Linked DNA regions of Callithrix jacchus. The protein of the gene in region 1 purifies or fractionates together with the protein of each later gene. This does not show direct contact. Links are inferred from orthologs where the notes say so. Each region holds a gene or a part of one and is shown in the gene's direction. Other genes may lie near its edges.

Region 1 (3,500 bases):
GAAGGGGCAGCGGGAGGGAGACTAATTACCTGGGGGGAAGGTAAGGAGAGGGCTGCCTGAGATTCTGCAACATGGAAGAATACAGCTGGCCCCTAACTCCCTTCCCCGATCCTTGCTTCTGGCCAGCGTCTTCCACTGGCTGGACCCATTAGGGAGGCCAAGCGGGCTGCTTGCTGGAGTAGTCCTCAGACATCAGCCTCCCATGAGCCAGAGACGGGTGGAGAAGCGAGAGAGTGGATGTGGCCAGGCAAGTGGAAGACAGCCAGCACCAAACTCTATTTCCCTAGGAGGGAGGATCATGACACTTGAGTGGGAATTTGGAAACCTATCTGTTGGAGCAATTTTCCTGATAGAAATAAGATTGTGCATTTTCCTGGGTAGTAGACTCATAGTTTTTACCCCAAGACACCAGGCACTCCTGGCCTGTGTGATCCTCATAGGCCAGTGCATCCCTGGAATTCTGGAATGGATCTTCCATTCTTGGTTAGGGATGTCCCTTCCCAGGATGTGCAGAAGGGCTCTGGGAAACCTGTGGGTCTGTCTCTATTTTCAGAGAAAGGTGAGGATGGCCTGGTTCTAGCTCATGGTGCTCAGACTGTGGTGTGTAAAGGCACTTGTGGAAATGCAGATTCCTGGGCCTGCCCCTAGTGATTCCCATTCAGTAGATTTGGGGTGGGGCCCAGGGCATCTATATTTTTAACAAACAACCCAGGTGATTCTGATATAAGTGGTCTCACCCTGGGAGAACTACTGGTCAGCAGCAACCAGCTTGGTTTTCCATTAGCAATTACTGTCCTTGAGCAAGTTCTGCTCTTCACCCTACACACACTAAAATTGCCAAGGCCGTAGGGTAGGGGAAGCAACCATGAGGTTGCTGTGAGTGCAGTGTGTGTGTGTGTGTGTGTGTGTGTGTGTGTGTGTGAGAGAGAGAGAGAGAGAGAGAGAGGAAGGGAGGAAGGGAGGAAGGAGGAGGGCTCTCCCACAGTGCCAACCTGTTTCTCTCCCACTTGAAGTGTTTCCATGCCAACCGAGATCCTCAGCCTCTAGGAAACCCCATATACACAGTGCCCCTGCATAGGTTTCTTTACACTCTGGCTCTTCCTGACTCCAGAGTGTTGGGTTTCAAAGTTTTTGGCTGTGACCCACAATGATTGAGAGAGAGACAGACAGACAGAGAGTGAACGAGCACACCCACCACCGTGTAAACGTGAAACCAAAGCTTCATGAAATGGCTTTGCTCTGTGAACTCTGATGCACTGTGCTCTCTTCTGTTCTGTTCAATCTGTATTTTAGAAATGCTGCTCAGGACCTCAAAATGGTTTGCATGTCCCACAGCCTGCAGTCTAAAAAATCACTGCTCTAGAGAAGTGGCCGTAAGAGGCCCTAAGGGAGAAGCTGCACCATGTCAGGGTTAGGAGTGGGGTTTGGAGCCAAGCTGCCTGGGCTCAAAGCCTTTATGTGTATCCTTGGCAAAGTCACTTCACTTGTCTGTGCCTCAGTTCCTTTCTCACGAATGCACAAAATAATGGTACCTGCTTCACTGGCTTGTCGTGAGGATGAAATAGTGTTATTATCGGGCAGTGCTAAGGATAGGGACCAGGGCTAGCGATCACGATTCTAGGTGGTTTTTACCATGCACCAGGTGCTCACAAGGCTTTATATACACAGCCTGGTGAGGCTGATAATACTGTTATCATAGATGAGGACACCAACAGATAACTAGTAAGTGGCTGATCAGATTCACAATATCCAGCTGAGGCGCTCCAGAGCCTGAGCTGTTAATATTCAGTCAGGGCCTCCCAGGTTTGCCTGAAGATAAAGAATCATGTGCACAGTTGTTAAAATATACAGATCCCTGGGCCCCACCCGACACATACTGGATCACCAGCTCCAGGATACAGGCCTGAGAATCTGTATTTTAGGGAAGCTTTCAGATGAACTTGTGATCAGGTGAGTTTTGGGAATGGTGCCCCAAGAGGAGTGGCAGGCCAGGCTTGCTGGGCAGGGACTGGCGGGTGGGAGTGTTATCACTGGGGTTAAGGACTGGGCACTAGCCACAGCCTGCCTGCCTGTTTCCAAAATTTGTGGCCGGTCTCATCCAGCTGGTCTACTGTCTGCTGGCCTAGGTGATGGTAAATTTCTCCAGGGGTAGCCTGTCTAGTTCAGGCTGTACCTTTCCCATATATCAGCTCCTTTCCACCATCGTCCCCTTTGTGAGGCTGTGATTATCATGTTCCTTTTGCAGAGATGGAAACATTGCTTCAAATTAGCTCTGTGATTTCCTTAGGATTCCGGGTGCTTTAGTGGCAGATCTGGGCCCTACGTCCTGGACCGTCTCTGTCATAGAGCACCACACCACGTCACCTCCCCCGCCAGGGACCTTGGGGTCTCCACTTTTCTGGGGTGCTCCATCTTTGCAGGGTTTCCTGGAAGCACAGATGCTGGCACTTCAGGGATGAATGAAAGTCTTTTTTGTAGATTTGTAGATTTTTTTCTTGTCTTTCCAGCTCCGTTTTCAAATGTATTTATCTTGTCTCTTTTAGTTTGCGTGATAACAATATCTCAGACCGAGGCGTCTGCAAGCTCATTGAACATGCTCTTCACTGCGAGCCATTGCAGAAGTTAGCGTAAGTCAGCCTGGGCTGTGGACATTGGGCCCTCAGTCCCCTGGTCTCACCCCCGGTCATGCAGCCTGGGTAGCTGTGAGTGATGGGCTGGGGCAGGGGCTGTTTGCATGATGGGGGGGTGCAGTTGATTCCTGCCCAGAGGGGAAGGGCAACCCTGGGATTGGGTGCTCCCTGTGCAGTGTGCTTTGCTTCTGTGTCTCCTCTCTTCTGGAAACTGAACAGTCTGTTCAATAACAAATTGACCGACGGCTGTGCACACTCCATGGCGAAGCTCCTTGCGTGCAAGCAGAACTTCTTGGCATTGAGGTGAGCCCAAGTTTTCCTTATTCCCTGGAAACTATTTTTTGCCCAACAGCTGAGTCAGTCTGGTCTGGTCTTGGCCTGGTGCTGCCCACACTGGCTGCTGACCTTCTGATTGAATGTAGGGGCAGTGTGTCATTTTGAGCAGGGGTTCTGTGTACTGCCATCATCTCCCCTGTAAACTCTGGACTAGCCCTGCTGAGGGCTTCCTGTCTTTTGACCTTTAACCCATAGGGCAAAAATGTTTTTCTAGTCCTCTTTCCTTTTCTGTGTCTAAGAGTGTCACAGCTCTCTGGGGTGACTGAGTTTCACGATGTATGTTGAGCTTGTCTCACTGGTGGAGGCATACGCAGTTACTTGCCACCCCAGCTGTGGCAGCCAGTGGCTGCAATACTCCCAGAAGGTCCTTTCACCATTCAGAGCATGCAAGGTTTGCAGTCTCATCTGGGTCTGCATTTCTGCTGCTTCAGTGTCTCCCAGTTTCAACTGGAGTCTCTCTCTCCTACCTGGCACTGTTAAATTGCCTCTCTAGCTGGCCTCTGGGTTGGGCTGGCTCTCTCTCTCTCTCTTTCC
Region 2 (4,029 bases), on another chromosome or scaffold:
AGGTTGCAGTGAGCAGAGTGCCACTGCACTCCAGACTGGGTGACAGAGCAAGACTCCCTCTCAGGGGAAAACAAACAAACAAAAAAACTTATTAAGCAGTAAAGCACAGAGTATCAGATCAATATTTAGTGCTGAACATTTTATTATAAATGATCATTTGAAACACACTCTTGTTTACAACCTCCCACTATTGTAAAACCTAACATTGATACTCTCATTTCAGGTAATGCAAAACTACAATAAGCATTAACTCTCTGTAGGCAGAAATCTATTCGAGTCATTCCTTATTACTGAAGCTCTAGAATTCATTAAACACCTAGCATAGACTTGGTATTGTATATAACATTTGCACTCATACCTTACAAAATAGTCATCTACGTAGAAAGGTGTTTAAGGCAGAAAGATGGAAAAATGTTTGCAGTCTTTTTTGGTTGGCATGAAACACTGACTGCATTCCTCCCAGGTTTATAAGAAAGAATTATTTGCAGTCTTACCTGGGGTTAGAGGGATGGACTCTCTCAAGGTTATTTTTCAATCTCTGTACATACAAACTTATGGAAGTAAGAAAGAAGGAGAAAGGCAGATCCCATGTAACAGGTGTTAAACACCTGAATTTGCTCTACTATGACAGGGTTTATCATCCACCTCTCAGTCCTGAAGTGGCTGGAAAGAAGCGAAGATTGGAGTCCAGGTGGACAGGTGAGTGTAGAACCTCTCAAGTGCGGAGCCCTCGGAATTCACCACACGCCCCAAATCGCTTCCTGCGCAGGCGCAGAGTCGGAAGCGGCTCCTAGAGCAGAACCCCCCCGCCCCCTAATAAAGCCCCCACCCGGACGCCGCTACCACCGGGATTTGGCAACTTCCGGAAGACCTGAGGACCGTAGGAGAATCCTCTCGGGAATGGGGGGTGGGGGCTGCTAACCAATCCGACACCGCCAGCAGGCCGGAGAGGGGCTTTCCCCAAAAGAAAACTTTCCCAAACCTGGGGGATGGGAAGAGAAGACAAAAGGAGTGCCTCTGGCTCTCTTTCTCACTTCCCGGCCGCCCGCCCCAGCCCCTCGGCCTCGGCCTCGGCCTCGGCTGCGCCAACCAACAGAGAATCCCGGCAGCAGACCGAGGCGAGAGCCAGGAGGGAGGGCCACAAGCGGGCGGCCCCTCTCCCCGCCTCGCTGTCCGCCGCTGACGTCGTCTGCGAAGTTTGGGGAGGGAGGAGCTCGGACGGCCGGACCGAGCGGCGGCGCGCGCCCTGGAAGGCGGGAGCTGCGAGAGAGGAAGCTCCTCCGGGGCGCTACGGCGTTGTCCCCAGTCTTCAGAAAAGAAGTCCGCTCTGGTTCGGAGAAACAGCGGCTAACGTGGGCCGCCTGGGGAATGGGAGGCCTCGTTACCTAGTGTCGCGGAGCAGTAAGGATCTTGCCGTCTTCGCTTGTGCAGGGGCGGATCTGGGCCCCCGAGCGTGGCGGGAGAGCCCTGGAAGCCGCCGGAGCAGGGGGCACACCCGGAACCGGCCTGAGCGCCCGCGACCATGAACGGGGAGGCCATCTGCAGTGCCCTGCCCACCATTCCTTACCACAAGCTCGCCGACCTGCGCTACCTGAGCCGCGGCGCCTCGGGCACTGTGTCCTCCGCCCGTCACGCAGACTGGCGCGTCCAGGTGGCCGTGAAGCACCTGCACATCCACACCCCGCTGCTCGACAGGTAGGCAGCTACTGGGGTTTCCGGGAACAGCCCCCAACTCTCCTGCACCCCTCCAAGCCCCCAAACAAACGGGCTCTAGAGCCCAAATGGCAGTGACCGCTTGGGGCCGGCCCCACCTCGTCACCTCTAGGCAACCCTTCAAGCTTGGGAGGTAGGGAGCACCGACCCTTCCAGCTCTGGCACTGTAGGGAGCACCAGCCTCTCTGGAGATGCAGCAGTCGTGTTCCTCCAGGCATCTCTCCGTTGCCTTTCCTCTCCTTCCCTCTTGCTCCTAGGCGTCCTCTCTCCATACTCCAAAAATCAGCAATCTCTGCCTAACTCTAAAAGCCGTGTTTATTGAAATTGATGTGTGTTTATATATAGTGAGGGCTGCACTGTCCAAGAGGTCGCTCTTAGCCACAGGTGGCTGTTGAGCACTTGAAATGTGCCCGTCCGAATTGAAATGTGACCTAAGTGTTACCATAGTGTGAATGCTTAGTATTTATATAAAAAAGAACTTATTTTTATAATAGTTGTTTATTGATTATATGATGAAATAATATATTTGGTATCTTGGGTTAAATATAAGATGTTGAAATTTATATCATGTTTCTTTTTACTTTATGTGGCCATGAGAAAATTTTAAATTGTATGTGGTATTCACATTATATGTTTATTGAACAGTGCTGCTTTGGAATCTGGGATGTTTTGCTTTTTATTGTTTTTGTTTTGTTTGTGGTGTGTTATGTGTATTCAGGAACGTGTAGTCAGGAGCGTTTTATGTCAGACTCAATACTAGCAGTTCCGTTTCTCCCACTCTCAGTTTCTCTAACAGGGAAGATTGTAATAGAGGAAATGTGTGCCATTTTTTGCCACAATAAATTGAACCGAAAGACTTTTAAATGGCCAAAAATTGTAGATGGCTTTCACTTATTAGTTTGTCCGGGTTTTAACGGACAGTTAATATTAGTTTCTGTTTTCAGAGAAATATTATAACCTCGTGCCACAGACCTGTGACTGTGTTAATCAATGGTCTGGATACTAGTCTTGTATATTTCCTACAGGGATTTTACTAGGCCCAGCACTCAGCTCTTAGTGAGTTAACATCCATGATTGCAACATTCTCTTCTCTTCCTATATCTAATGTGAAAATACATCATCACAGAATCCTGATGGGCCAGAAGCTGTGAGTATGCAGTATCAGATAAATTCCTCAGCTTCCGCCTTGCCAGTTACTGGATTTTCACCTACCTGTGGCTTTTCTTCATTGTCTCTCACTGTCAGGCTTGGATCGCCTAAATGGCACAGATGTGGGACACCTCTAGAGCTTGTTTCCACTTCTTGTCTGTCATAATCCAGATTAAGTGATATACAAGGTGTGGTGTCTGTTTACTCTGGGCATTACATTCTGTGGAGCAAGTGCTGGGCAAGTGTGTATGTGTGCCTGTAGTCAACTTTTAAAGGTGGTGGTTAGAGAGGACAGATGTATGTTAGAACCAGTTATGCAAATACTATATGGAAATGTAGCACTGATGAACCCATTAGGTATTGAAAAACCAATTGATCCTCCCATTTTGGGTGCTGCTTCTCAAGATTTTAATTTATCTCAACTTTGTGTGGTTTGGGGACAAAGAAGTGAAGAGGGAATTTCCTTCCCATACTCATGAACAATTTTCATAGTCTAAAATTCTTCACTGAATTGGGTAGGAAATTAATTCTGTCTTCAAGGAAGCCATAAGACCAGTGAAACACTCTGGCATTACTGTATCACATTCTTTTCTCCAATTTGTTACCTCAGATTTTATCATTGCAGTATTTATGTAGTATGAGTGTTAGACGATACTATGCAGTTGACTCACTGGTGTCTCTTTCCTCACTTACACAATAGGAATAATAAATGCATGTGTTTTTCGGACTATGGAGAACAATGTTTGCATTGTTTTTTTGGATGACCTGAAAGAAAAATAAGTTTATGCAGTGTTACATGTTCTTATTTTAATGTTTGGTGAATCAGTCTCTGTAACCTGACTTCGATGCAATGAGTGGACCTTCCCCAACAATCTTCCCACCCCTTATGAGTAATGAGTCCAATTGGTTGTTCAAATACCCTGTACATGACATAAGGTTTTATTGAATTTTTGAGTTAATTTTGGTGATGTGACTATACAAGCTGTACTTTACACCTTTATTTTCAAAATGTAAAAATCAATTTTTAAAATATTTTGGCTTTTAAAAAATTTTCCCACTCACTCAATCTTGCCAAAAATCTGTCTTCAAGAACTTTCATACTGTGATGTTCTGTGATCAAGCAACAGGGTAGAAAAAATGCAGGCTTTAAGGTCCCATGATTGTAAT
Region 3 (4,244 bases), on another chromosome or scaffold:
AGCCTCCCAAGTAGCTGGGATTACAGGCGCATGCCACCTCACCCAGCTAATTTTTGTATTTTTAGTAGAGACGGGGTTTCACCATGTTGGTCAGGCTGGTCTCGAACTTCTGACCTCAGGTTATCCACCCACCTCGGCCTCCCAAAGTGCTAGGATTACAGGCGTGAGCCACTGAGCCCAGTAGAAACAGAAAATTCTGTTATGTATATTTTACCACAAGAAAAAAACAGTGCTTAAAAAAAAGCAAAAACAAAAATTCGAGAAGTGCCACTAGAGTTCAGAGCATGAAGAGATTAACTTCAGCTAAGAAAATCAGAGAAGGCTTTGTGTACAGGCAGTCTTTTTTTTTTCCTTTTGAGACCGAGTCTCGATCTGTTGCCCAGGCAGGCTGGAGTGCAGTGGTGCGATCTCGGCTCACTGCAACCTCCGCCTCCCAGGTTCAAGCGATTCTCCTGCCTCATGAGTAGCTGGGACTACAGGTGTGCCCCACCACGCCAGGCTAATTTTTGTATTTCTAGTAGAGACGGGGTTTCGTTGGTCAGACTGGTCTCGAACCCCTGCTGGGATTACAGGCGTGAGCCACCACGCCCAGCCACCGGCAGCCTTTTCTCGAAGGCAGAGGGAGTAGTTGGAGCAAATTAGCCTAAGGCAGGAAAACTGAGAATGGGCGGGGCAGAAGGAGTAGTTCTGATTTATTAGAAGATAGGGTAGCGTGCCCAAGGGGAGAATAAACAGGAAACTAAGGAGTTTTTAAGAAAAGTATTTCCTCTCCTCCCTCCAAGTTCCCTAGTTGTGAAGGGAGGACCATAAGTATCTTGCATCACTTGATTTCATTTGAAATGAAATATTCAGAATCCATCATCTCACTATATTACCCTTTAAGATTCCATGTTCCTGAAACAAAAATTCCTATGTTGATCTGACAATCTTACAACGCATTTGAAATAAATCCAGGGTAGGACCAGCATTTTATGTTCACAGACTTCCTTTGTTTCCTGTCCATCTGCTTTCTTTTTCCTCTATTAATTTTCCATTCACTTCCCAATCTTAACCCCTCGCCATTCTCCCAGGGTCCCCCTTTCTCGTCATCCCTTTCATCCTTCCCTTCTTGGAAACAGATCCGATTCTAATCTCAGTTACTTTGTTTATTAGCCGCGGGATATTGGGATAGTTATTCCCTCTGGGCCTCAGTTTCTTTTGTAAAATTAAACCCCCCAAAACAGTGTTTATTTTACAGGGTTGCCAACAGTACAACAAAGAACAGGTTACATGCCTAACACAGTACCTGGTCTATAGTAAGAACTCAACATTTTTGCCCCTTCTCCCTCCTCTTTTCCGTCCTTTTATCTCTCTTCCCCTATTCCTCAATCCCAGAGCCCAACAGGTAAAAACCGTGGGAAAAACCGTCCTTGAGGCTAAAAGAAGAAACGCTGAGGCTAGGGGCGGAGACTACGAGGTGCTCACTGCGCATGTGCGCCCGCTAGGTCAGCTTCTGGGTTCCAGCTGGAACGCGGGTGGGGGGGGGCGCGGGTGGGGGGTTACCAGGGCCTCATTTTATCTTACTGCCCCCTTCCGGTTTGGGGAGGTGGCGGGACCTTGGCGGCGCCCGGAGCGGGTGCGGCACTCATCGAGGGACGCCCGGCCCAAAAGGTAAGTTGGAAAATGGCGGAGGGGGGGAAGAAGGAGGGGCTTTGCAGGGCAGGAGGCTGACCTCCCGGCCGGGGGTGGGAAGGACACTGCCCGGGCCGGGAGACTGACGGACCGCGCCCAGTATCTTTTTGAGGCCCTGACGTGGACGCACTTCGGGTTTCGCGACTACGGGTGTCTCCAGGGGATGGGCCGGCCAGTGGAGGCGCGTGAGGGAGACGAAGGGACTTCCGTTTCCTTCACCTAGGCTGGGGCCAGGCCGCAGAGCAGAGTTGGCTTTTCCAGATTGGGGCTTGGGCCGCGCCCCCTCCGGGACCCTCCCCTTGGACCGAGCCGATCGCTGCGGGCAGTTGGGGCCGGCTGTCCTGGCGCGGTGGGTACAGCTGTGTAGGCTTTCCCCTCCCCCGCTTTCCCTTCTACTCCTCTCCTTCCCTCCCCTCTCTTTTCCCCTCCACTCCCCTCGGGCCGGCGCTGCTGGGGAGGGCGGGAAGGCCGCGCCTGCCCGGCATGGGTGGCCCGGCCTGGGCTGCTTGCCCGGGTTCCCCGGACTGTCGACGGAAGGCGTGGGTGGGTGGGTGACCTCAGGCCCGCGTACTGCCTTCCTAAACCCTGTGACACCTAAGGTAAATTGAGGCAGAAAACTTTTTAAATATGATCAAAGGGATTTCCTCCCCATGTGATACCTGTGGCTTGTGTGGAGCAGGGTGGAGTGTGTCTGGAGGGGGCGTAAGAAACCGAAAGAATGAGGGCCAAAGAGCTTCCGGAAGAGGAAATTAGCTAGTGATTCTTTCCACTCTGCTTTCCCAGTCACCTTTCCAGCATGTTCTGTAAAACAAAATGTCAGTTTGACTTCGTTTCATCATTTTAACTCCCTAACACTTAAATTGTTTTCTTTTCGGGGAGGGAAGTGTTTCTTTCAAACTAAGCAGTAGCCCTCTCCACCTCCAAAAAAGGAAAAAGTCAATCAAAGCTTTGTTTAAAAAAAAACTTTCAGATTTTAATAATCTACTACTTTGCTTTCAAATATAATTATGTCGATAGTTCTGTCACAACTATACTTTGATAGTTTGATGACTCACAGAAATTTACTCTTGGAAGACTGGAGGTTGCAGTAGCGTTTCTTTCTTGTTATCTTTTTCCCCCATAATATTTATTACAGCCAGCGCAAGAGAACAATGTTACAGACGGCCATCTTAGAATTAAAACATTTTAGAGTTGGAAGGGATCGTAGTCAAACCCCGTCCTTTTACAAGAGCAGAAACAACTGCTTAGGAAGATTTTGTGGCTTGCTTAAGGCTATCCAACTAGTTAGATTAGAACCCGTGTTATCTGGCTTCTTGCCCACCACTCTTTCTGCGCAATTGCTCCATATCGCCTCCAGGCATAAAAATTAAATGTATTCAATTCAACACTCATTTCTGAAGAGTATAATACTTTGTACCAGTGACTCTGCCACCACTTTTCTATGTATTTCAACGTATTTAACATGCGTATGGAGTACTTGAGATTTCTCCCCACCCCCACATTCAAGAAGTGGCATCTGTCTGATTTTTATACACACACCTTCACAGGTAGGTACGTGTGTATACTTGCATTTGCTTAGTTTCTTGAAGGATACACAATAAAAAGGTTAACAGTAGTTATGAGGAAGAAGAGAGGTAGAAGACTTTTTGCTTTGCAGTAGTTCACATGACCTAATGTACTGTTTGAGTTTGTTATAAACTAGTATTGATTTTTTTTTTTTTTTTTTGAGATGGAGTCTCATTCTGTCGCCCAGGCTGGAGTGCAGTGGCATGATCTTAACTCACTTCAACCTCCACCTCCCAGGTTTAAGCAGTTCTCTGCCTCAGCCTCCTGAGTAGTTGGGATTACAGGCGCATGCCACCATGCCTGGCTAATTTTTGTATATTTAGTAGAGACGGGGTTTCACCATTTGTCCAGGCTGGTCTTGAACTCCTGACCTTGTGATTCATCTGCCTTGGCCTCCCAAAGTGCTGGGATTACAGGTGTGAGCCACCGCACCTGGCCTCTAGTATTGTTTTATAATTGAAAAGAAGTTTTAAAGTTCACACCCCCCCACACAAATATATATATATATCTATATAAGCAAGTATATACCGATGGTATGTGCACATTTATATACATATATGTATTTATACATAGCAGTAGTTTATACCATAAAATCCGGTATGATTCCAGCCAACTCAGCTGACAAAGCAGGCCTCATTATTGGATACTTACGTTTGTTTTTCTTGTATTGCTCTCTCCTAATGTAGATGGTAAAAATAATATGTTACTAGTTGTATATTTTTAGAAATTGTCCTAAGCTTCATTATCAAATAAAGTAGCAAACTTTAACACATTCAGAATATCAAATTTGAGTACTTGCTTTGGTAGCACACATTTTTTTTTTTAAACATGTCACTGAGTTTATTATAGAGAATGGTAACAGGAAATGGGATTGTACAAAGAAAAGAGTTGGAGACAAAACTGGATGAGGGTTTCACACTGGGTGTCCCATCCACAGGCCTCAGCAGTCCTGCCACGGATCTGCCCGATTCTTTCGCATCAGGAAGTTGATCTTGCGAGCCATTTCC

The links.
Region 2: the proteins of NOD2 (region 1) and RIPK2 purify together in Homo sapiens (affinity purification with western blotting; 12 studies listed by BioGRID and IntAct, with this or other methods). This does not show direct contact. The link is inferred for Callithrix jacchus from reciprocal best matches to the Homo sapiens genes NOD2 and RIPK2.
Region 3: the proteins of NOD2 (region 1) and XIAP purify together in Homo sapiens (affinity purification with western blotting; 3 studies listed by BioGRID and IntAct, with this or other methods). This does not show direct contact. The link is inferred for Callithrix jacchus from reciprocal best matches to the Homo sapiens genes NOD2 and XIAP.

Annotation. Positions count from the first base shown.
Region 1 is NC_133521.1:8,640,257-8,643,756, forward strand, and holds part of NOD2 (nucleotide-binding oligomerization domain-containing protein 2), read left to right. Parts: intron 1-2,543; coding exon 2,544-2,627; intron 2,628-2,849; coding exon 2,850-2,933; intron 2,934-3,500. UniProt on the Homo sapiens protein: Pattern recognition receptor (PRR) that detects bacterial peptidoglycan fragments and other danger signals and plays an important role in gastrointestinal immunity.
Region 2 is NC_133517.1:37,391,664-37,395,692, reverse strand, and holds the start of RIPK2 (receptor-interacting serine/threonine-protein kinase 2), read left to right. Parts: upstream 1-1,229; 5' UTR 1,230-1,522; coding exon 1,523-1,695; intron 1,696-4,029.
Region 3 is NC_133524.1:119,602,780-119,607,023, forward strand, and holds the start of XIAP (E3 ubiquitin-protein ligase XIAP), read left to right. Parts: upstream 1-1,444; 5' UTR 1,445-1,650; intron 1,651-1,894; exon of another isoform or gene 1,895-2,020; intron 2,021-4,056; exon of another isoform or gene 4,057-4,244.